Neurospora crassa OR74A: one gene and its partners. The protein of the gene in region 1 interacts with the protein of each later gene in a pairwise test. Links are inferred from orthologs where the notes say so. Each region holds a gene or a part of one and is shown on either strand. Other genes may lie near its edges. The genes, in order: NCU03387, NCU05778 and NCU07071.

What was found.
Region 2: the proteins of NCU03387 (region 1) and NCU05778 interact in a two-hybrid assay, tested with the Schizosaccharomyces pombe proteins (2 studies listed by BioGRID). The link is inferred for Neurospora crassa OR74A from reciprocal best matches to the Schizosaccharomyces pombe genes sec18 and isu1.
Region 3: the proteins of NCU03387 (region 1) and NCU07071 interact in a two-hybrid assay, tested with the Schizosaccharomyces pombe proteins (2 studies listed by BioGRID). The link is inferred for Neurospora crassa OR74A from reciprocal best matches to the Schizosaccharomyces pombe genes sec18 and rcd1.

The regions. Positions count from the first base shown.
Region 1 is NC_026502.1:886,378-893,334, forward strand, and holds NCU03387 (vesicular-fusion protein SEC18), read right to left. Parts: upstream 3,677-6,957; 5' UTR 3,394-3,676; coding exon 3,035-3,393; intron 2,971-3,034; coding exon 768-2,970; 3' UTR 566-767; downstream 1-565. Other genes in the region: NCU03386 (hypothetical protein), read left to right, coding at 4,041-4,048, 4,103-5,162; NCU03385 (hypothetical protein), read right to left, coding at 5,498-6,160. UniProt on the Schizosaccharomyces pombe protein: Required for vesicle-mediated transport. Catalyzes the fusion of transport vesicles within the Golgi cisternae. Is also required for transport from the endoplasmic reticulum to the Golgi stack.
Region 2 is NC_026507.1:3,795,926-3,802,482, forward strand, and holds NCU05778 (iron sulfur cluster assembly protein 1), read left to right. Parts: upstream 1-2,681; 5' UTR 2,682-2,911; coding exon 2,912-3,053; intron 3,054-3,151; coding exon 3,152-3,326; intron 3,327-3,783; coding exon 3,784-3,874; intron 3,875-3,955; coding exon 3,956-4,105; 3' UTR 4,106-4,570; downstream 4,571-6,557. Other genes in the region: NCU05777 (ubiquitin carboxyl-terminal hydrolase 14), read right to left, coding at 1-1,341, 1,429-1,496, 1,616-1,643; NCU05779 (hypothetical protein), read left to right, coding at 4,815-6,047. UniProt on the Schizosaccharomyces pombe protein: Scaffold protein for the de novo synthesis of iron-sulfur (Fe-S) clusters within mitochondria, which is required for maturation of both mitochondrial and cytoplasmic [2Fe-2S] and [4Fe-4S] proteins.
Region 3 is NC_026506.1:257,467-264,595, forward strand, and holds NCU07071 (cell differentiation protein rcd1), read right to left. Parts: upstream 3,745-7,129; 5' UTR 3,058-3,744; coding exon 2,700-3,057; intron 2,614-2,699; coding exon 2,458-2,613; intron 2,398-2,457; coding exon 2,022-2,397; intron 1,960-2,021; coding exon 1,779-1,959; 3' UTR 244-1,778; downstream 1-243. Other genes in the region: NCU07070 (ATP-dependent RNA helicase dbp-9), read right to left, coding at 4,659-5,041, 5,108-5,404, 5,464-6,328, 6,407-6,892. UniProt on the Schizosaccharomyces pombe protein: A differentiation-controlling factor that is essential for the onset of sexual development. Induces ste11 when sexual development is invoked through nitrogen starvation.

The DNA of each region.
Region 1 (6,957 bases):
GTTGATTAGTTTCGTCGCAGCCAGGTCCATGGTATACCTTTTTGTTTTAAGGTCTTCATTGCCTCGCACGATGGAGACAGCCCCCGTGGTGGTTGTGTTGGGCGTCATATGATGCTTCCAACCATTTCTTAGTTGTTTTTTTCCCTTCTTCTTTGTTTATATGTTGTTAAGAGAAAAAGAGGGAAAAAAAGAAAGAAAGGAAAGAAAAACCGAAAAAAAGGGGAAAAAAAAAAGAAAGGAAGGACAGCTTCCAGGGGGGTAAGCTCATCACGATAGAGCGGGTATCTGATCATCTTAAGCTCGTTACTAAGCAGGCGTCGTCGGGGACTGTGATAGCACCGGGCCGTTGGATTTTGACAGCTGATTGTCCGCAGTTGTATTTTTAACTGTCGACCGTTTCGAGTTTCTTCTACTTTCGCATCTCATTCATGGAGGCGCTGACCAATATGGTAAGTATTCGTTCGTGCTGTGAAGGTATACATAGTAGCGTAGGTCCAGAAATAGTGGTCCTTTGAATATCTCGGATACGTTAGCATGGAAATATATATACAAGTCTAACGAACGCTCGCGTTTGGTTTCCCATGAAACGCAGGGGTAAGATTCGGAACAAGACTGGAACAGTTATAACAAAGTAGTGGTCATCATTAACCTACTTCTATTCCCAAAAGGCATCACTGTCTATATCCTGAAGCTCATCCACTTGATATCCACCCATATACCCATATTAATGTATATACCTCCTTGTCTACAGCTCTAGTTCTCTCTCTCTACCTAACATTATACCGAGCAATCAACCCGGCCATCTTCTCCACGAACCATCCCTTCGGATCAGGACTCGTGTCCGCGCTCTCCGCAATCGTCAGGATCGTCCTGACACCCACACCCACGCTATCCGACCCGGTATACTCGCGTAGGGTATTCAACACCTCACTGACAGCCGCCTGGTCGCCACCAAACGCTCCCACCTCGTTCAACACTGCGCCCAACTCCTGGAGGTTGTTCACAGCGGGAACGGCAATCTGGTAGTCAAACGACTCAGTGACGTCCAACTGTTCCATGACGGTACGCTGCGAAGTCGTGGCGAGAATCAAGAGACGGTGGCCCTTAGGTGGAGGAGTAACCAAAAGGGTGACGAGGGCCTGGAGGATGGTGTTGGACAGGCGCGGGCCGACGGGGTTCCATTCGATAATGCGCTCGATGTTGTCAATAATGAGGAGGGAGAGCGGGGACTTGTAGGCGTCGGTGAAGATCTTGTGCATGTAATCCTTCTTGGCCACCTCGTCGCGGAAGCCGACCATGTCGGTGGGGGTGATGAACTTGATGAAGGGGAAGTCGGACTTCATGGCGATATGGGCGGCCAAAGCCGTCTTTCCAGAGGCCGAAGGGCCGTGAAGGAGGACGGTCATGTGCTTGAGGCGCTCGAGCTTGCGCACGTTATTGACGTAGAGCAGACCGTCTTCCAGGATCGACGTGATACTCTTGGAATAGTGGATGACGCCGTAAGCCAGGTGCTTCTCAAGCTCGGACTCGTCGGCGCCGAAGGCGGGCTTGACTTCGTCGAGGGCGTTGAGGAAATCCTGGCGGTTGACCTTCATGTTGGCCACGTCCTCTGAAACGCCAGCCATGGTGCCGACTTTGATGTGTCGGGAGAAGGCGTACGAGGTAGCGGATTTGACGAGACCGCTCAACTCGGCACCAGAAAAGTTCTTTGTAAGAGTGGCAAGCTCAGCGAGGTCAACGTCGTCAGCCATGACCTTGTTCTCCTTCATCTTGGAGGTGTGGATCTTGAGAATCTGGCCACGGCCATGCTCGTCGGGAAGCGAGATCTCGATTTGAACCTCGAGACGACCAGGACGAAGCAGGGCATCGTCGATCATGTCCTTACGGTTGGTCATTCCGATAAGGAGGATGTTGTTGAGCTGGTCGACACCGTCAAGCTTGGAGAGCAGCTGGTTGACAACACTGTCTCCGACGCCGGTACCACCACCAGCACCCGAACCTCTCTGCTTGCACACAGCATCCAACTCATCGAAGATGATAATGTGCAAGCCGGACTCGTCTCCCTTCTCCTTGTACTCCTTCTCGGCATCGGCGAAGAGCTTACGGATGTTCTCTTCAGACTGACCAACGTACTTGTTCAGCACTTCAGGACCGTTGATGACCTTGGGTTCCCTGGCGTTGAGCATCTTGCCGATCTGTCTGGCAATCAGGGTCTTTCCGGTACCGGGAGGACCATACAGCAGCATACCCTTGACGTGCATGATGCCAAGTTTCTCGATGAGTCCGGGAGGGAAGATACGAGAGGCAAAGGCACGACGGAAGATGGTGGAGAACTCGGTATCCAGACCACCAATGCCCATATTCTCGAACTTGAAGTCTGGGGCGATGATGGCGTTGGCCGCTGGGCGCTTGTTGGAGCCCTTGAGCTTGATGGGTGACCTGGCATCCTTGTAGAAGCCAATGCTGGCCTGGTTGGTGAGAATACCGCGTGCTCCAGGGTCACTGCGTGTGGGAGCCTCGCCCGATCCCAGCATGGTCAGGTCAACCAGAGTGACCGTCTTGACCATGACAGCCAAAGGGATGTTCTTGACGTCAAGCAGGAACCTCTGACCAGGAGCAAAGACCTGGTTCTGGAAAGTCTTGAGGAACACTTTGGCCAGCTCATCCTGGTCATAGGGGGTATCGACGATTCGGTTGGTTGACGCAAATCCGATCTCAACATCCATGGAGCCAATGTAGGCGTCGCCTCCACGGGCAAAGGGATCGTAGACCTCTCCCATCAACTCGTCCATCATGCCAACTCCGCACCATGTTCGCTGGGGGTCTGACAAGCTGATGTGACCCGGACGGAAGCCGGGGGTGGGGCGTGCCGTCACCACGTAATCTCCTCGTAGCTGTCTTCCTGTCAAGCGGATGTATAGATCGGTGCCATCGTGGTTCGGGGGGAAATCATTGGGCGATACGGCGCAACTAAAGTACGAGGTTAACAACTTTGGATTGGATAGACTGACCATGGGTAGCGCAGGGAACTCACATGTTGCCAAAGATGTAGAGACTCTGCAACGTCTTGTCATCCACCTTTGCGAGCCGAAGGGGGACACCGCGACCGGCTGGCTGAGAAGGGTATCCGCCAGGAGCGGGCTGTCCGCCGTAACCACCGCCACCGCCGCCGCCATAGCTCTTTTCAGATGGCGCACCTCCATATCCTCCAGCGCCGCTGCCAGAGTATTGGGGCTGAGAGGGAGCGCGACCACCTGGGCTGCCGTAGTTGGTTGGTGTTGCGCCGCCGCCGTATCCGCCTCCGGCTGCTTGTTGGACGGGACGACCGGGGAGACCAGCTCCTCCTTGTGGGGTTTGGGGCTTCTTGCCGAAGAGGTTGCCTCGAATATCCATGGTGAGTGTCGTGTGTGGATTATAAGTTACGGGTATCGAGGAGGAGTAGTAGGTGAGTGGACGTAAATGGGGAGAACCAGTCGCCCTTGGTGGTGTTTATCTATGTCTCGTTGGAGCGTGGAGTGGGCGCACTGGATTCGCGCGCAAGTACGTAGACACGTCGTGGATGTTGGTTCGGTTGATTGTAATTGACGATATAGCCGGGTATGACCACAGAAGATGCCTGTCCTTTGAGGCTGAGCTTCGGTGTTTTGTTGAGTTGAGAGAGGAGGGGATGCGGATGGAGGTCTGTTGTGTCAAGGGAACGCTATTACTACGTTGGGTGGTTTCAGCTGTGTCCCTGACGCTGTACAGGAAATGGTGTCAATGGCGGCTGTACTATGGAGCATATTGTCAGATTACTTGTACAAAGGCGCCAGCTTTCAATTAGTGGTGTATCCCCAGACTTGGTCCCCTGGCGCCCAGCCTGGACTCGCCCCTGACCAACGGGACCAACGTACGTCAAAGAGCGGGGCACGTGTTGGCCGCAAGATAAGATAAGAAGACTGACTCCAAGTAGAGGTGCTTCCTGGTTCTCCCAATGTTGTCGTCTTCAACTATCCAATCACTTGAAGGGAGACGATTTCATCGTTTGTCCCAACGTCAATATGCCTCTGTGAGTGAATACTGACTCCTTTTATCCAAGCAACAATTACCAACAGCATACAAGTCACCTTCTCGGAAAGAAATCATGGAACGTCTACAACACAGACAACGTCGCCCGCGTCCGCCGTGACGAGGCCGAGGCCCGTGCTCGCGAGGAAGCTGAGGAGCAACGCATGCAACAGGTCGACGCCGAACGTCGTCTAGCCATTCTGCGCGGTGAAGTTCCGCCGCCACTTGAGGAGCAACCGCCAGCATCAGAATCCAGCCATGATCATGGGCGCCGTCAGCGTGAACGTGATCCTCTGATAGAAGGACGCAAACGCAAGCGAGCAGGCGAGGATGACACCGATTTTGAAATGAGGATAGCGCGGGAACGGGCCACGGCAGGGCAAAATGCGGCGAGGGAGCTGTCTGGCCCAGTGAAGTCGACTTCCATCACTGCTACTACTGCATCGCTGGTCGATAGCAGGGGTCATATCACGTTGTTTTCTGAAGAGGAGCTGAGGCTTGTAGAGAAGGATGAGATAACAGAGACAGAAGCAGCCAAGAAAAAGCGTGAGGAAGCGGAGCAGCATCAGGTACGCTTTACCAGTGCGGCTGGCAGGGATGCGGAAGGCTTGTTAGCCAGAAATGGCCCCTGGTATGCGACACCGGATGGCGACGTTGCTGCGTTGGTGCCATCCAAGAACGTGTTCGGCAAGGAGGATCCCGGACGGAAGGCTCGTGAGGTGGAAAGACTGAGTGCAAGTGATCCTTTAGCGATGATGAAGAGGGGTGCCAAGATGGTGCGTGATCTCAACAAGGAACGGGAACGGGAGAATGAGGAGAGGCAAAGGGAGCTAAAGGAATTGCGAAAAGAAGAGCGACGACGAGAAAAGAGGAGGCGAACAGAATATCGCAAGGAAAAACATGATAGTAGAGCGTCTGGTGACGAATCTGACTGTGGTAGGCGGTCTCGGTCGGAGAGGCGGGAACGGGACCATGATCGAGACCGATCGCGAGATAGAGACCGACACCGCGACCGTCACCATGGCCATGACAGGGACCACAAACGGGGTCGTCACCATGAGGAAAGGGAGAGAAATCGTGACCGAGAACGAAGCCGCGGAAGTGAAAGAGATTAGGAAAGGAGGAGAGATCACTCTCGTGACAGGCACCATAGACGGTCTAGCAAGGACCGAGACGATCGCGAGTATCGCAAGCACAAAGACCGTGATGCCCATGATGGTAAGCATGACCATCACCGGCATCACCGCTCGGAGAGGTCAGATTACGAGCACGAGCCAAGACGTCCAAGAGACGAACAAGCATAGCATCCTCATTATTCTTGCATTGCGCAAAATCCAGAGTAGATAAAAACCTCAGCGTCAACATAAATAGCCAACAAGATACCCATCCAAATATAATCCCATCCAAAAACTCCCAATCCGACTTCAATCCCCCCGAACCTGTATCCCACTCACCTCTCCTTCCAAGGCAAACTAATCTTCACCTCCCTCATATCCCTCTCCACCATCTCCTTCAAGCCCCTCGTCCCCTCCCCGCCTTCTGTCAACACCTCCCCCAACACTTTCAACACCTCCTCCACCAACTCCTTACTCCCCCCTTCTGGCCGATCACTATAAACATCCACCCCTTCCTTTGTAAAAAGCGTCGACGCAAACCACGTAACCGCCCATCTCTCCTCGACCTCCCCGGTCTCCTCATTCTTGCGTTCCCCCCAACCCAGCACCTCCCAATGACTGCTCACAAAAAACAACCACCCGCTCCCGCGCCAGTCCCAGCTGGTCGTATCCTCTTGGATATTGTCCCAGTTACCCGTGTCGACTCCCGCGACGGTCTTGACGCCTCCTGAACCGGAGAGGGATTCGTATTCGACCAGGTCGTCGATACGGGGACGGCCATCTTTAGTCGGGGTAAGGGGGCGGTACGTGATGCGGACGTTGCGGGCCGAACGCCACATGGAGAGGGTCGAGTGGGTTACGGACCAGGTGCGGTGGAGGAAGCCGAGCGGTGGGAAGCGGATGGTTTGTGGGGGTGGGGAGGAGTGGGAGTATTTGTAGGGGAGGCGGAGGGTGATGGTGCCTCCTGGTGAGGAGTTGGTGGGCGGTGTGGTAGCCATAGTTGGTTTGATTATACGATAATTGATGGGTAAGATGGTGAGTTGACAAGTGTGGTCGAGGGCTAGTCTGAGGAGCAGAGTTGATGATGAGATGGGCTGGTCCTACACTATATATATATGTGCGAGTCTTGGGATGAAAGTGACGTCCAATGGTCGATGATCAGCTGAAACAGTGTGAAATGTAGGCTACTACCGATTGGCTCGCTGGAAACACAGGGGTTCAAGTTTGCTCGAGTCCCCTGACTTCCTGGTCTGGATATCCCAATTCCAGGCACGAACGGCTGGGCTTATCAGGTCGAGAAAAGTTGATGGAGATCACATGGGATTTTCGGCTTGCCTAGGATTGAAATCCAGAGAACATCCAGCTCAACACATAAGTCGTTGGGGTCCAGGTCTGATCGTGAAAGCCACAACATTAGTGCTCGATGGTCAGCTGCCTTTTCTCGCTTGTTTTCAAATATTCTTGCCGTCCTGTCATATCTCACCCACAGGTAGGTAATCTCTAATTCCATTGTCAAGTGCGGTTCAACAACCAAGGTGTCATACCGTACGACCCGATCATAATTCAAGTGAAGTCCAAAAGAAGATCCAAAGTTGAAAAGTGACAAAACACCAATCGGGAGGGTGACATTCCGAGACAAGGGTTCCATTTCTCCTCAAATCCACTGTGCGGCTGTTCCTGTGTTCTGTTTTAGCGAGGAACGAGTGGGGCCCCACAAGGCTGATTCAACGACATCTCTCGACTCCACTTCCTTGCCCGGTGTTTCTTGGCGCGTCGTTGATCCTTTTTCGAAACA
Region 2 (6,557 bases), on another chromosome or scaffold:
TTGACCCTCCTCCTCGGGTGGAAGCTTCTCCATGGGCACGTCAATGAAGACGCTGTCCTGCTCATTGCTACTGTAGCGGACCTTCTTGCAGTTGAGGCATTGCAGACGCTGCTCCATGACGAAGCGCATGGGCTGGGTGGGATCACCAAGCTCTACTGGATGCTTGGATCGAGTGATGAGCTTGATCAGATGCTGCAAGAGCTCAAAGGCGTCTTGCTGCCGCATGGTCGAGAACTCCTCGTGGCCACGACCCATGAGGTGCTTGAACATGGAAGGCTGGAGACCCTTCTGGTAAGGGACGTTGGGAGTGTGCTCAGAAGCAAAGACATCGGCGTCTGACTTGGAGTACCGGCCGGAAAGAAGACCATCACCAAGCTTGCGAAGCTGTGTTTCGAGGTCCTCGGCAGGATCTGATACGCTGGGGAGAGGACCAAGCTTGTCGCTATAGTACCGTTGTTGGAAAGAGGGCAAGTCGTAGAGACACTGTAGGATACTGGCAAGGTAGCAGCTGTTTCCGAGGTTCTTGAGGCCAGTCAGGCCAGGGCCAAAAACGGGTGTCAACTCTTTGCCGTCCTCAGTGGTCATGGAAAACTCCCATTTCAGGTTCTGCTCGATCTGCATTTCCGTCAAGCTCTTTTCCGTCTTTTCGCGCTCGGCAAGGATAATGCCCCAGTTGGCCAGGTGGGCGCCCAGGTTGTCATCGATGCGCTCTTCGTCGCAGTTGTAGCAGTATACGTCGGCCGTTCCCTCGGGGGTGATGGAACCAAGCTTGACAGCGACGCCGTGTTTGGTCTCGGTCGCGTGAGCCAAACCGTGAGAGTTTCCGCTGACACCACCGAATTGGGCGCGGCCACAACCAAGGTTTCCGCATTCCAAACACAGCCAAAGGTTTTCGTTCAAGTCGCACTTGGAGCAATGGCCCAGATCCTGAGACTCAATCTTGCGAGGCTCTCCTTGCTGCATTGTCAAGATGTGCTCACAGGTAGTGAGCTCTTGTTCCCAGGCCTTGACCTCCTCCTTGCGTGAGAACGTGTTGGCCTTCATGACGGCCTCGATGACGGGGGCGATGGTGGCATCTTCCTTGTTCAAGTTGTCGATTCCGCAGTCCAAGCACTTGACTGTAAGTGTTGTATCGTAGCGATCGCTTTCGGTCTCGGCCGCGATGGCGAGCTTGGACATCTTGAGAGGCGGCTCATTGCGCTCGATGATCTTGCGGGTTCGGCGAATGTTGAGGACGAGCGGGTGGTTTCGCGAGGTGGCATGGAGCTTTGCGTGATTCCGGTCGCCAGCGCAGCCTCCGTTAAAGCACTTTAAGCAGACATCCAGACCAGCTGGGTCGTCCTATTTACAGCGAGGCGGTTAGTTGCTAGGCTGGACATGGTAGATGGGGCTAGAAGAAGAGAGGAAAGGCCAGGATAGAGTACGGACAATGGAATCGAAGCATTGGGTACAATCCTCGCGGTAGACATTGTCGGTAGGCGACGGCTTCGCGAGGTCTGTTAGAATCGGTGTGTCAGAAATACGTTGTCCAGTCCTGAGTTAGAGGCGCACCACACATGATGGAAGCTGAGCTGAGCTCCAAAGAGCATGCAAACATGGAATAAGCAAGACTTACTTGCGGACCCGATGTGGGGGCACGACATGTTGGGCGGATTCGCGATGATGTATGAATGAAATCAACCAAGCTATGTTGTCTGTATTCTTGGTGTGTAGTTGTGTACAACTAGAAAGTCATCGAATTGTTGGATGAAGTCTACCGCCAAGTGAAGTTGTATTGCAGAGGAAGAGAAGATGGAAGAAGCGTGAAGGAAAATGGAAGCTTGCCGTAGCTGCAGGCAGTGAGCTGAGCTGAGGTATGATGTTGTGGGGTAACTTTAGCTGACGCGGCAGGCACTGGACAGCAACCACTCCCCAATCCCCATGTTCCAGGCAACCGCGCTTCATGGCATTCGCCCTGCCGCCTTCCATTTGTTCGAACCCCGCTGCCGTTTCATGGATTGTGACAGCGGACAGGGATGATGTGCTGCAGTCTGGGGACAATGGAGCAGGGATTGGCGCTTGCTTAGGTATCGGTGGTGGACGATCTGTTATGCATTTCTTAACATTGTGGCACGTTACACAGTGACAATGCAGATACGGTTTGTTAAGAAAGTGTCATTTTCCAGTTTGCAATCAAGAGGCAGAGTTTTGGACGGGAGGTACGTTTGACGGCGACAGAAATGCCCATTCGACGAGGTAAGAAAAGAGAACAAGGACCTGACTAAGTACCATTATAGTGTAGAAGCCCGTGCTTAGCATTTTCATCTGTCGTCGGCTGGAAAAAAAAAGTCCAAGGGAAGCGAGTGATCGTCCAGAATTCCAAGTCAACGACGACCGAATCGCGAGACGTAGGTACATTCGGTGTTCCGTAATCTGATCATCTTATCTCCGCGGCAAGTGGAGCTCAGAACTGTCTTGGCTCTCTTTTGTCCAACCGACCAAGCCGACGTCGGGGATGACGCCCCCCATGTCCGTAGCAGCGCGTCTTGTCACTGGCCTAACAGAAGCCTGGCTGTTTTGGTTGGTGATTGTGCTCCGCTTTTGTTAGGAGAGCTCTGACCAACCCCTCTTTTTCGTATCCCAGTCCCGAGTGCAGCAAGTCGCCCCCTTGGGTCATCATCGACTTTTTGGCGACCAAGTGCCGCAAGCCCGCAAATCCGCAGCCAAATCCGCAAATTCCAGCAACTTTTAATCCCCAAGTCCCGTCCGCCGCCAACCTCTTTATCTCGGCCTCTTTGACTTTTCGCCATCCACTCATCACCAGAACTCGTCTCTTGCATCACCGATACCTATCCTACAGAAACAACAAAACAACCCAAGACAAAACGAAACGAAACAAAACAAAAACATCACAATCAACACATCCGCAACCATGTTTTCCAGATCCGTTCGCGCTGTTTCCGGCCGCGTTCTCGCCAACGCCGTCCGCCCTACCGTCATGCCGGCTGCGCGCCAGATTGCGCCCGCCGTTGCCGTCGTCGCCAAGAGGTCCTACCACGAGAAGGTCCTTGACCGTGAGTATTCCCATCGCGGCCACGCATTCGCGCCCTATTCCACCTTGGATATGGCATATCGGCAAACATGTACAGATGCTAACATGTCTCAATATCAGACTACTCGCGCCCTCGCAACGTCGGTACCCTCGACAAGAAGGACAAGTCGGTCGGCGAAGGTCTCGTCGGCGCCCCCGCCTGCGGTGATGTCATGCGCCTTCACATCAAGGTCGACCCCGAGACTGGAGTCATCAGCGACGTCAAGTTCAAGACCTTCGGCTGCGGCTCTGCCATGTGAGTATTGTCTCTTTCGTCACTGATAGACACGGATGCCTCGGGAAGCCATGGGGGCCAAGAAAAAGTGACCGAAGCCACGGGCGATACGAAATTGATACCACACAACGATCAAATGAAACGCGAGCGACGACAAACTAGTTTCATCGACGTATAGTTGCAACTACAACACCTCGGTTCAGCATAAGCAGGGAGGATGAGCAGAGAAATGCGACACCTGAAAGTTGAAACCTCCAGGCCGTTACACCCCAGGTTTCAGTGCTGCTTGGGTGTGCGCGCGAATAAGCGATAACCTCCCCATGCCTTTCCAACGCCTTCGACAAACGGAGAACGATATCGAGAACTACTCGGATTCACTACCTACGATTCCTAAAAAACGACGATAGCTTGATCATTGGCTTCCCAAGGCTTTAGTGTTACCATAACGTTCTGAGCTCAGCTTACTAACTCCCTTCAGTGCCTCTTCCAGCTACGTCACCGAGCTCGTCCGCGGTATGACCCTCGAGCAAGCCTCCAAGGTTAAGAACACCGAGATTGCCAAGGAACTCGTAAGTCTAGACCTGTTCTCCGTACCATGCTCCTATGCCTCTCGTGCACTATGAACTAACCGTGTTACCCAACACCCACAGTGCCTCCCCCCTGTCAAGTTGCACTGCAGCATGCTTGCTGAGGATGCCATCAAGGCCGCCATCAAGGACTACCGCACCAAGAACCCCCACGCCATGCCCACCAACCTCGCTGGCACCGGCGCCAAGTTCGAGACTGCCCAGGCCGCCTAAACCGGTCATCTACTGATTAGCCAGCCAGCTTGGGAGGATCTTAATGGGGCTTGTATGTTGGAGAAAGCTAAAAGTGGATTTTGCACAAAGAGCCGCAAACCTTGAAAAGGTCGGCCATGCATGCGTCGTGGGGTTTGTTGTCTCTTGTTTCTCATGGCGGGGGTTCTTGAAGGGATTATCATATCATCCATTAGCGGAGTCTTTCGGAGTTTTGGATTGATTTGGTGGGTAGTTCTTCTTTCTTGTTGTCGTTGTTGTTGTTTGTCCAACACCACAACCACTTTTTTGGGCTGGGTTGTTGCTGGCTGCGTTGTTATAACAGAAAAGCAAGCTCATTCTCCTTTCTAAACCTTTTATCCTGTTATGCCGCAACCTCATTGTCCCCATTTGTATGTTTATTACGATGACTTATGCGAATGGTATAATGTCAACATATAATGCACCCATACGACTGATTATCATGTGCTTGAAACAGTTGTAGTCATTGTTTCCTTTTAGTTTGATCGAAGCTTCCATCGGCTATTAGCTCACCCAGTTCATCGTTCCTTAACGATATAAGGCACTTCTCAACCACATTCGACAGCCTGCCTCTTCTCTCCCCGGTCCTTCTTCAGCACAGATCACTTTACAACTCCGATAATTCACACTAACCTTTACAACTCCGATAATTCACATCAACCAGCACGTACCCGCCCTTCCCACAAAAGCCATGGAAACGGACCCCGAATCCGACCTCTCCGCCCTTGGCTCTCAGCTCTCAAGCGACGTGGCAGACAACCAGCTCGACATTGAGTCCACCCTTCGCTCGTCCCAGTCCAAAATCAAAGAGCTGAGAAGAGAGCTCAACGCGGTCGACATTGTCATCGACAAGTTATTTGCGAGCTATACTGCCCTAACTAAGGCGTGGTCTAAAGTTGATCAGAAGGCGGGTTTGAGGAGGGAGCGAGAGTCGAGGGAAGGGAACGATAACGGGGAGGATGGGGAAGAAGGTAGAGATGAAAAGGAGGACGATGACGACAAAAAACGGAAACGAAAAGATTCCAGTGAAACAGAAGAACCTACTGCGACTACAAAAAGTAGAAGAAGAAGTTCGAACAGTTCTTCTCCTCCCATAGACGTGTCGGAAGCTACACTCGATGCAGTGGCGAGGATCCTGCCGCTGCCGCTACCGCAGTTGGAAGAAGACAGTGGAAAGAGTGTGGAGGAAGGGGATATGACTGAAGCTGCCACTGGAGGTGTGGGAGGAGGAGGAGGAGGAGGAGGAGGAGGAGGCAGCAGTACAAGTCATCAACAGCAACAGCAAGGAATTAGAAAGAAAATCAACTTGGGTAAGAGAGAGGTGAAGAGGGTTAGGACTGTTAGTCCTGAATCTGGATCTGGATCTGGATCTGGACCTGGATCGGTGATGAAGAGCATTGAGGGGGATGAGGTTGATGGGAGTCACGAGAGGGATAGTCCAACTCTGGAAAGCGAGGGGGAATATGGACAAGAAGAATTGCCCGACAATGGGGGAGAAGTCAACTTTCGAAAGGACTTGCAAGTCAATGTTGTATTTCTGGAGCAGCAGTTCGAGAGATATGAGGAGGACATAAACAAAGGGTTGGAGCTGTATAAGAGCGATATGAACAGGAGGGTCGAAAGGTTGGAAAACGACATGAACGAGAGGGTCGAGAAGCTGGAGAGGAAAGTACACAAGAGCTTCGAGAAGTTGGAGAATTGGATGAGTTGGAACGAATGGGTCGGGGAGACGATCACTTATGGGGGAGATGATGCAGATGATGAAGATGAAGAGGAGGAGGACAGTGAGGAGGACGATGAAGATACTGACGAGCACGAAGACGACGATGACGATGACGATAACGATGATAATGACGACAACTACAACGGAAACCTACCTTCGCCGCCAGACGATCACCCCCTGACAAATTCGGCTAACCATTGATCTGGAGATGACCCTGGTGATGGGTTACGTCCCGGATTGACATTGCAGATGACTCTTATCAACAGTAATGAGGTTGAAGGGGGAAGAGACGAGAAGCATGAGCATGATATCAAGACAGAGCTACCTGAGGATAATAGTAATAATGATGTGGTGAATGAAGAGGCCGTCCGTTAAAGGAGACGAAGTCAAGCAGAGTAGCTCTGAAGTCAAGGTAGAGGCCGGAGGGGACCGTTTCCGCAAGAAATTGCCGAGACTGATTCTTCTAATGATGAAGGTATGAAAAGCGATCAGCACGAGGGCAATTCATAGAGTAACGGAGTTCTGTTGGGAAACTGGCAGCAGTTGGTTTATATGGACGGATGCCTCCAAGCCCCCCACATAGATTAGATCCAAGTAAAGGAAGACGTCGCAGAAAACATCAATGACCGTGTACACCACAGCAGACATGAGGAATATGTTTCTTTTTTACGAATGGACTTTCGATATGGTACAGGGAAGAGCACATGTGTT
Region 3 (7,129 bases), on another chromosome or scaffold:
CGAGATGGTGATCAGTCAAGAAAGGTTTAAGGTTACTGGAGACGGTCGCGAGATTATAAACCTAGAAACTCAACTCAAACATGAAGTGTCGCCTCGCCAGCCCGTGTACACAAAGGTAACATCATATCATGTTCATGAATTCATAAACGCCCACCATCGCATACAACCGCAATTCCTATATCCCCTATCCACTATGGTAACTCATACATCTCCAACACCCCATATCCTATGCTTTCTCTCTTTACCCCCCCGTCCCCCGAGGTCTCCCCCTCCCCCCTAACCCATAACCCCCCTTTTCCCCTATTCCCCTCGCCCCTTTCTTCCCCCTTTAGCCCCCCATTCCTCTTCCCCCCTCTTCCCAAAATCAACAAAATAACGCCCTCCCAATGTAGTAAAAAGTGATATGATTATGGAATCCTCGCTTTCCCATGTGTCGTGCCGAAAGATAGGTACATGAATGATGATGATGCTTTTGGTGTGTCTTGGACAATAAGAAAAAGTGAAAAAGAAAATCCCCTTTTCCACCTCTCTTCTCTTTCGCCGATTCTCTTTCTTCGTTCCGCTTTTCAGCTGCCCACCTTTTTCTATAACCCTATGCATCCCAGTTATCCCTCGCTTTTTCCCTCCTCTTGAAAACAAGTCCCTCTACTCATAAGACATTATCAGGTAGCCCCCTCTCCTCTCTCTCTCTGGAATCTCTCCTTTGTGTGGTATATACCTTTGGAGGTGACGGTATTGTTGATGTGTTCGAGGTGGGTCGACCAGGTGAGAGGTATTGTTGCCCACGGACTTGGCTTGTTGTCGTCTGATCCGTCCGGGTAGCGATGTGATTGTTGTAACCAACTTCGGCCTGCCCACGGAACAACGGGTGCCATCCGATTGTCCCTCTCGCTCACACGAATGTGTCTGATGGGTGCCATCAACGTTGATCGGCCACCGGATTGACTTGCCCTCCCTCGCTGATGTTATCCGAGCCAGTCCCAGTGAAGGGTCCAGCGGGTAGCATCAATCGTAACCTCGACCCGTTCGTCTCGTATGTGTCTGTCCGTGATCATGCCACCGATCACGTTTGAACTCCAAAGTATATATCGACCGCGCCACCAGTCCTTCGCATCCTCAACCAAGGGTCTTCGACCACGCCACTGGTCACCCTTTCCTCCGCTCCCCTCCTCCTGGGTATAAGATATGTGAACCGTGGACTTCGTGACCCGCCGTTTCGTCCCAAACGATGAATACAAAACTGCAGCAGCCTCCAAAAAACTTCCAAAAGAAAACTATGAAGCACTGTATAGGCGTTATGCACACAGAAAAAAAGAGTTAAGGAAGCTACGTAAAATTTGGGGGTATCTTTCGTCATCAATGATCCTCTTGCCCTCCTCCGCTGACTCCTTCATCGTCTCTCGGCTCCTCGTTCCTCCACTATGCTGGATGTCCTTGAGAGTTTCGGCCTTCGCGTGTAATGTCATCGTGTGCTGGTGGTGTACTTTGACGTGTTGAGGTGTAGCCATCGGACCCTTCTCGTCGTCGGATAGCTTGTGCGGTCCTAGGTATGGCTATGAGCTGCTATTAGGGGTTGAGTTCCAGACCACTCGATCATGTACGACCGGTAGCCCCCACCCCCAATTTTTTCCATCTCTACTTGTAGTAGCGATCTATCCACTTCTCACCCTATAACCGATTGGAAGAAAAGTCTCGAGTTAGCAGTTTGTTCCTTTGCCATGAGTTGCTGCAAAGCCGAGCGTCCAAAGTGGCAAAATGGCCAAATCGCAAAGGGTGGTTTAAATTCCAAGACCGCTGGTGCTGGGTTCGACTACATTATCGGAGAGGTTGATGAGGAGCTGCGCCAGGCAACGCTTGGTGGCGGCATCGTCGCGCAGAACCGAAGAGAAGGTGGCATCGCGAAGGGGCTCTGGCAGGCACTGGCGGAGTGCCTCGCGGGCACGAGCATTGTCGCTAAGTCTGTTTGGATGATAAGTCAGTACAGAGACCTACCAAAATCGAGTAACAGGGCGAGAACATACCTCAAGAAGCACCTAACAACATGTTTGAGAAGCCTAGCCGTCTGCTGCTCTACCAGCTGAGCAACCATGTTGCTGAGGACGGTGCCGACAGCGTAGAAGCGCTCATAAGTGGCACAGATGTAGTTAAGACCGTTGTCATCAAGCAAGATCTTCTGCACGATGAAAATAGCAACCGTCTTGCTGAGCTCAGAGCCGGTCTCCATGATCCTCAGGCAGAGGGGAATAATCTCGGTCGTAAGGAGAAAGTTGATGACCTCTGTGGAATCGTTCTTGACAAGCGCACCAATGACTCCCAGCGAAGTGAGCCGGAGGTATTCAAAAGGACGCGACTTGGACGTCGTGTTAAGAAAGGGGTAAAGGAAGAGGGGGATGTGTGCTGAGGAAGAAAAAGGTTAGCAGGCTAGCCGGTCCTGGCTTGTAACAAAGGGGCACCTACCATTGAGGAAGAGGGTACGTGTCTCGTTGTGAGACGCCACACACTGAAGGAGGGCGAGGGCATTGCAGACCCTGTTGGAGGCGGCAGCGGTGAGCTGAGAGGGGTTGAGGAGGGTATAGACACTGATAATCTCCTGGAGGAGAGATGTCATGACTCCTAGACATGGGGATTAGCGCATGATCGATCGGCGGGGGGAGAGAGGGGGAGGGGCTCCGAGGTATAGGTCGGTTCATTGTACTTACCGAACGAGTGCCAGAGGATCAGGGCCAGTTCGGGGACCTGCTCTCGCTTCTTGCTCAGCTCAAGCAGCGCAGCCTCCCTGGTGTTTTCATTCAGCAAGTCGGCAATGTACTGGAGCGTACGGCGGTTGTCATCCGAGACGACGGGCTCAATGGCATTATCCTGTGCGTGGGTGGCGGCGGCAAGGGCGTTCACATTGTTGTGTGCGCCGGCCAGGCGGTTGTAGTGCTGCTGCTGGGCAACATTGGCGGCGGCGGCAGCAGCCTGGGCGTGCTGATGGTGAGAGGTCTGCTGGTGAAGCCAGGCAGAGTCGGCCTGGGGGTATTGGTGGTGGCCGTAAACATGGGGATTCTGCATCATCTTGGGCTATGTGTTCGAACGGAGAAATGCTGGCGACGGCGCGAAGTAGTGGGTCAAAGACGTCGGGAGCTGTGTGGGTATCAATCGAGGCAGGACTCGGGGTGGCGCTATTGTTGTCGGTGGTGGTGGTGGTGGTGGTGGTAGTGGTTATTATCTTTCGCCAGGAACTTGACGATGGGGCAACGGCAGGCCGGGCGGCATGAGAGGGGTGTCGTCGGGCGCAGGAAGGGTCCTTCTCGATTGCGAATATCAGACAGAGCAGCGGTCAACAACGGCGTCGTCGGGCGGGTCGGGTCGTGTAGAGTAAGGTAGACAAGTGGGCGAGGCGGCGTCGAGGCGGGTACGTAGCGAGGTGGTTGTGCTTTGAGCAAGCGGGCTGTTGAACAAAGGCGGCGGCGGCGGCGGCGGCGGCGGCGGCGGATTAAAGTGCAGATTGCAGAACACCTAGTCACAGGCCCGGCAGGCAAGGCTTGACGATCGCGGCGGGTCTTGGAAGTACAGTACGTGTGTATTGGTATGGAAGCGAAATATGGAAAAAAAAAAAAAAAAAAATGAGAGTGTTGGTGTTGTGGGTAGAGAGGTCACGGCACGGTAGAGTTGGAGTCGGTGACGGTGACGGAAGTGGATATGTAGACTGGAGTGAGTGAGTTGGGTGGTGGTCGTATGTATTCCTGTGGTGTTGTCGGCGGGCAAAGAGGAAGGGAATCAAGCAGATGAAAGAAGAACGAAGACCTAGCTGCCCGGTGGACCTATGGCGGCGCCCACCACCCGCCCGCCTGCTGGAGTCGACTCGTCTCCTGCTCCCGCCGGCGTTCGAGGGTCACACTCACACCCACTCAGGGCACCCACAGCAGCCAGAGAGCGGTCCAGAGCCGCACCCGCGACGGGGACAGTTTGCGCACAGACCATCAAGCTCAACATGTGGGGAAGCTTCGGTCCAGTGTTGGATTCCGAATTCACAGTTAACCCTGGAACGCGGCACTTCCCACATATAACCCTGCGATGGTCAGGGGATAATGCGCCCTGATTGGATGACAGATGCCGTCTGCATTTCGACATCAAATCTGCCCGCTGTCTTTGGTGAATCAAAATTCGGGTGATCATCGCTTTCCGGGCGAATTTCGATCAGATAAAACTGATGGGCCGTTAAAAATAATGGCATATATCTCCAGGCTCAACTTCAACAAGCACTTGAAATCCACGTATCAGAGGAACATCGATAGTCTTCATCCCGTCCCGTCCTAGATGTTCTCTCGGCCTTGGAAGGCACCATGTACCTACTCACGTTTCCTTTAAATCTCGATGAACTTCGATTGAAGGCGAGCTTGAAGGTGAGCTTAAACTTATAATTGCCATTTCACCTTCGTTTTGATCCGATACCAACCCATAAATGGGATCAACAGCTTAACGTTCAGGACTCATACTTCTCTTTGATATCCCGTAGATGTGCAATGATATCTTGATTCCCCTTCAGACCACCAAGCCTAGCCTAGGTATTTTTTAACCAAAAAAAAGCCACACACACACACACACACACACATAAACACCAGAAAATGCAGACCCCTTTTCCTTTCCCATCTCATCTACCAGACGCCGTCCCTCTACTTCCTAACCCTAAAAGTCTTCAACACATTCTTCCTCCCCCCAGGTCCCTTCTTATACTTCCCATGCCCACCTTTTCCACCCTTGGCCCCCTTCTTGCCTCTCGTCTTCTTATCGTCGCCCTGCTTCTTAAACGGCACGAACCCAATCTGGGTTTCCGTGAGAGCGTTCTTGCCGTCCTGGGGCAGCAAGTAATCAGGCACGTGCTTGAGATGGGCTTGCTGGCGCATCTTGGTGCCGAGCTCGCCGTCGTGGCGCAGGTGCGACAGCTCGTGCGGGTTCTCTTCAAAGTAGCGCTTGAGCGTCTCGGAGCGCAGGAGTTCTTGTCGCAGTTCGCGGGTGCGGGCTTCGCGGATGGCAACTTTTGTTACGGCGCGGAGGGCTATTGCTCAGTTAGAGAATGAATGGTCAAATGGACGAAATGATAAGGGGGAAAGGGGGTACTGACCATCGTTCATACGATAACGGAAAGCCTCCATCTGATCCTTGTTAAAGTTGTACGGCTCCAACTTGCGGTTGAGCTTGGCCTGCTGGCGCATCACCTTGGCCAGAACCTTCTCGTCCTTCTCGCACTGCTTGATGCTGGTGGGCTTGTGCTTGCCAAAGAGATCGTGAGGGACGACCATCGATAGAGCAATACCGGCGCGACCGGCGCGGGCGGTGCGGCCTATCCGGTGAATGTAGGAAGAGGAAGAAGTGGGCATGTCGAAGTTGATAACGGCGGCAACGTTTTTGAAGTCGATGCCTGGGATCATTTGGGTTAGTATCCAGAACCATGTAGGACCAAAACGCAGACAGACTTACCTCGCGAAACACCATACTCCTGATCCCTCCTGCCCTTCTTCTTCTTTCCCTTGCCGTTCTTCTTCTCATCGCCCTCCTTCTTTTCACCTTGCTCCTCCTTCTTCTCCTCAGTCTTCTCGTCCTCCAAGAAGACCTCGCTCCTCTCATCCGACGCAATGATGATATCATAAATACCCCTGTTAAACTCCTCGATAATCTTGATCCGTGTATTAATCGGCAACTCCGAGTTCAGCACACAGCTGCGAATGCTAAACTGCTCGAAAAACAGCTTCAAGCGGTACGCGCGATCGATATCCGCCACAAACACCAGACAGGGACCCTTGATCAGCTGCAGCTTGAAGATCAGGTAGCTGATGAGCCACTTGTCATCCTCGCCGCACTTGACGTAAAACTGGGTGAGCTTCTCGTCCTCGTTGCTGAACTCTTCCTTCAGGTCCAGCATGGTGGGATTGCGGCAGAAAAAGCCCTTGAGCGTGTCGAGCTCGTCAGAGACGAGAGTGGCGCTCATCATGGTGGTCTGCACACCGCCCTTGGGCAGCGAGCGGGCGATGTTCTCCATATCTTCATCGTAGCCGTAGGACAGGACGAGGTCGGCCTCGTCGAGCACGAGGTACTGTAGCTTGGCGACGCTGAGAGCGCCGGACTCGATGTTGTGCCAGGCGCGGGCGGGAGTGGAGACGATCACGTCGGGGGCATTGGCGAGGAGGGAGCGCAGGACGGCGTCGGACACGTTGTCGGTCAACTTGGCGGATTGGATGTCCTTGGTGCAGAAGGCGGAGAAGGCATCGATGGCTTTGTGGACTTGGTCGGCGAGTTCGCGCGTAGGGACGAGGATGAGGGCGGAGGTGAAGGGGGTTGGGTCGGTCTGTTTGTGGTTTCCTTTTCGTTAGCATCCAACCTTGTCACAACACAACTTCTTCTCCCGGGTGTCAAGGTAACTCACAGCCTTCCTCTTAAGAATGCCGCTCAACACAGGCAACACATATGCCGCCGTCTTACCCGATCCTGTCTTCGCCTTGCACAGCACGTCCTGGCCCGCCAGCGCAAGCGGGATCGCCTTCCTTTGCACGAGCGTCGGCTTCTCAAAGCTCTGTTTCGCAACGGCCTGCACAAGGCGAGGGTCGAGACCCAGGTCGGAGAAGGTCAAGTCGGCATCGTCCTTCTCGCTCTGCTTCTTCTCGTCCTTTTCGTCTTGTTGTTTTTGCTCGTCCTTTAGTTGTTGCTCGAGCTCTTGCTCCTCCTCGGTTTGTTGCTGCGCTTGTTGTTGGGTCGCTTCGGGCTTCTCCTCCTGTGGCTTGACACTCTGCGACTTGGACTTCTTCTCCTTCTTTTCCTTCTTCTCGGTTGAAGACTTCTTGGTCTTCTTCTGGGTCTGAGGCTCGGTCACGACTGACGGCTCGTCCGTCTCGTTCAACTTGCGCTTGGCCATTGTGTCGGGGTATCTAGGTTGTGAAGTTTGGTATTAAACTGGTCTTGCGCGACAGTAATTGTAAGTTAATAACACGGTGAAAGTTGGTGATCAGTCGACTAGAGTTGGCCGTGGTATGGTCTATGGACAGAAAGATGGTAGATGAAGAATGTTTTTGGAAGTGGAGGAGGAGGGGCTGCACTTCAATGGAAGCTACGAAACGGATGGATGCCAATTCCTCGAATCGACCAAAAAAGT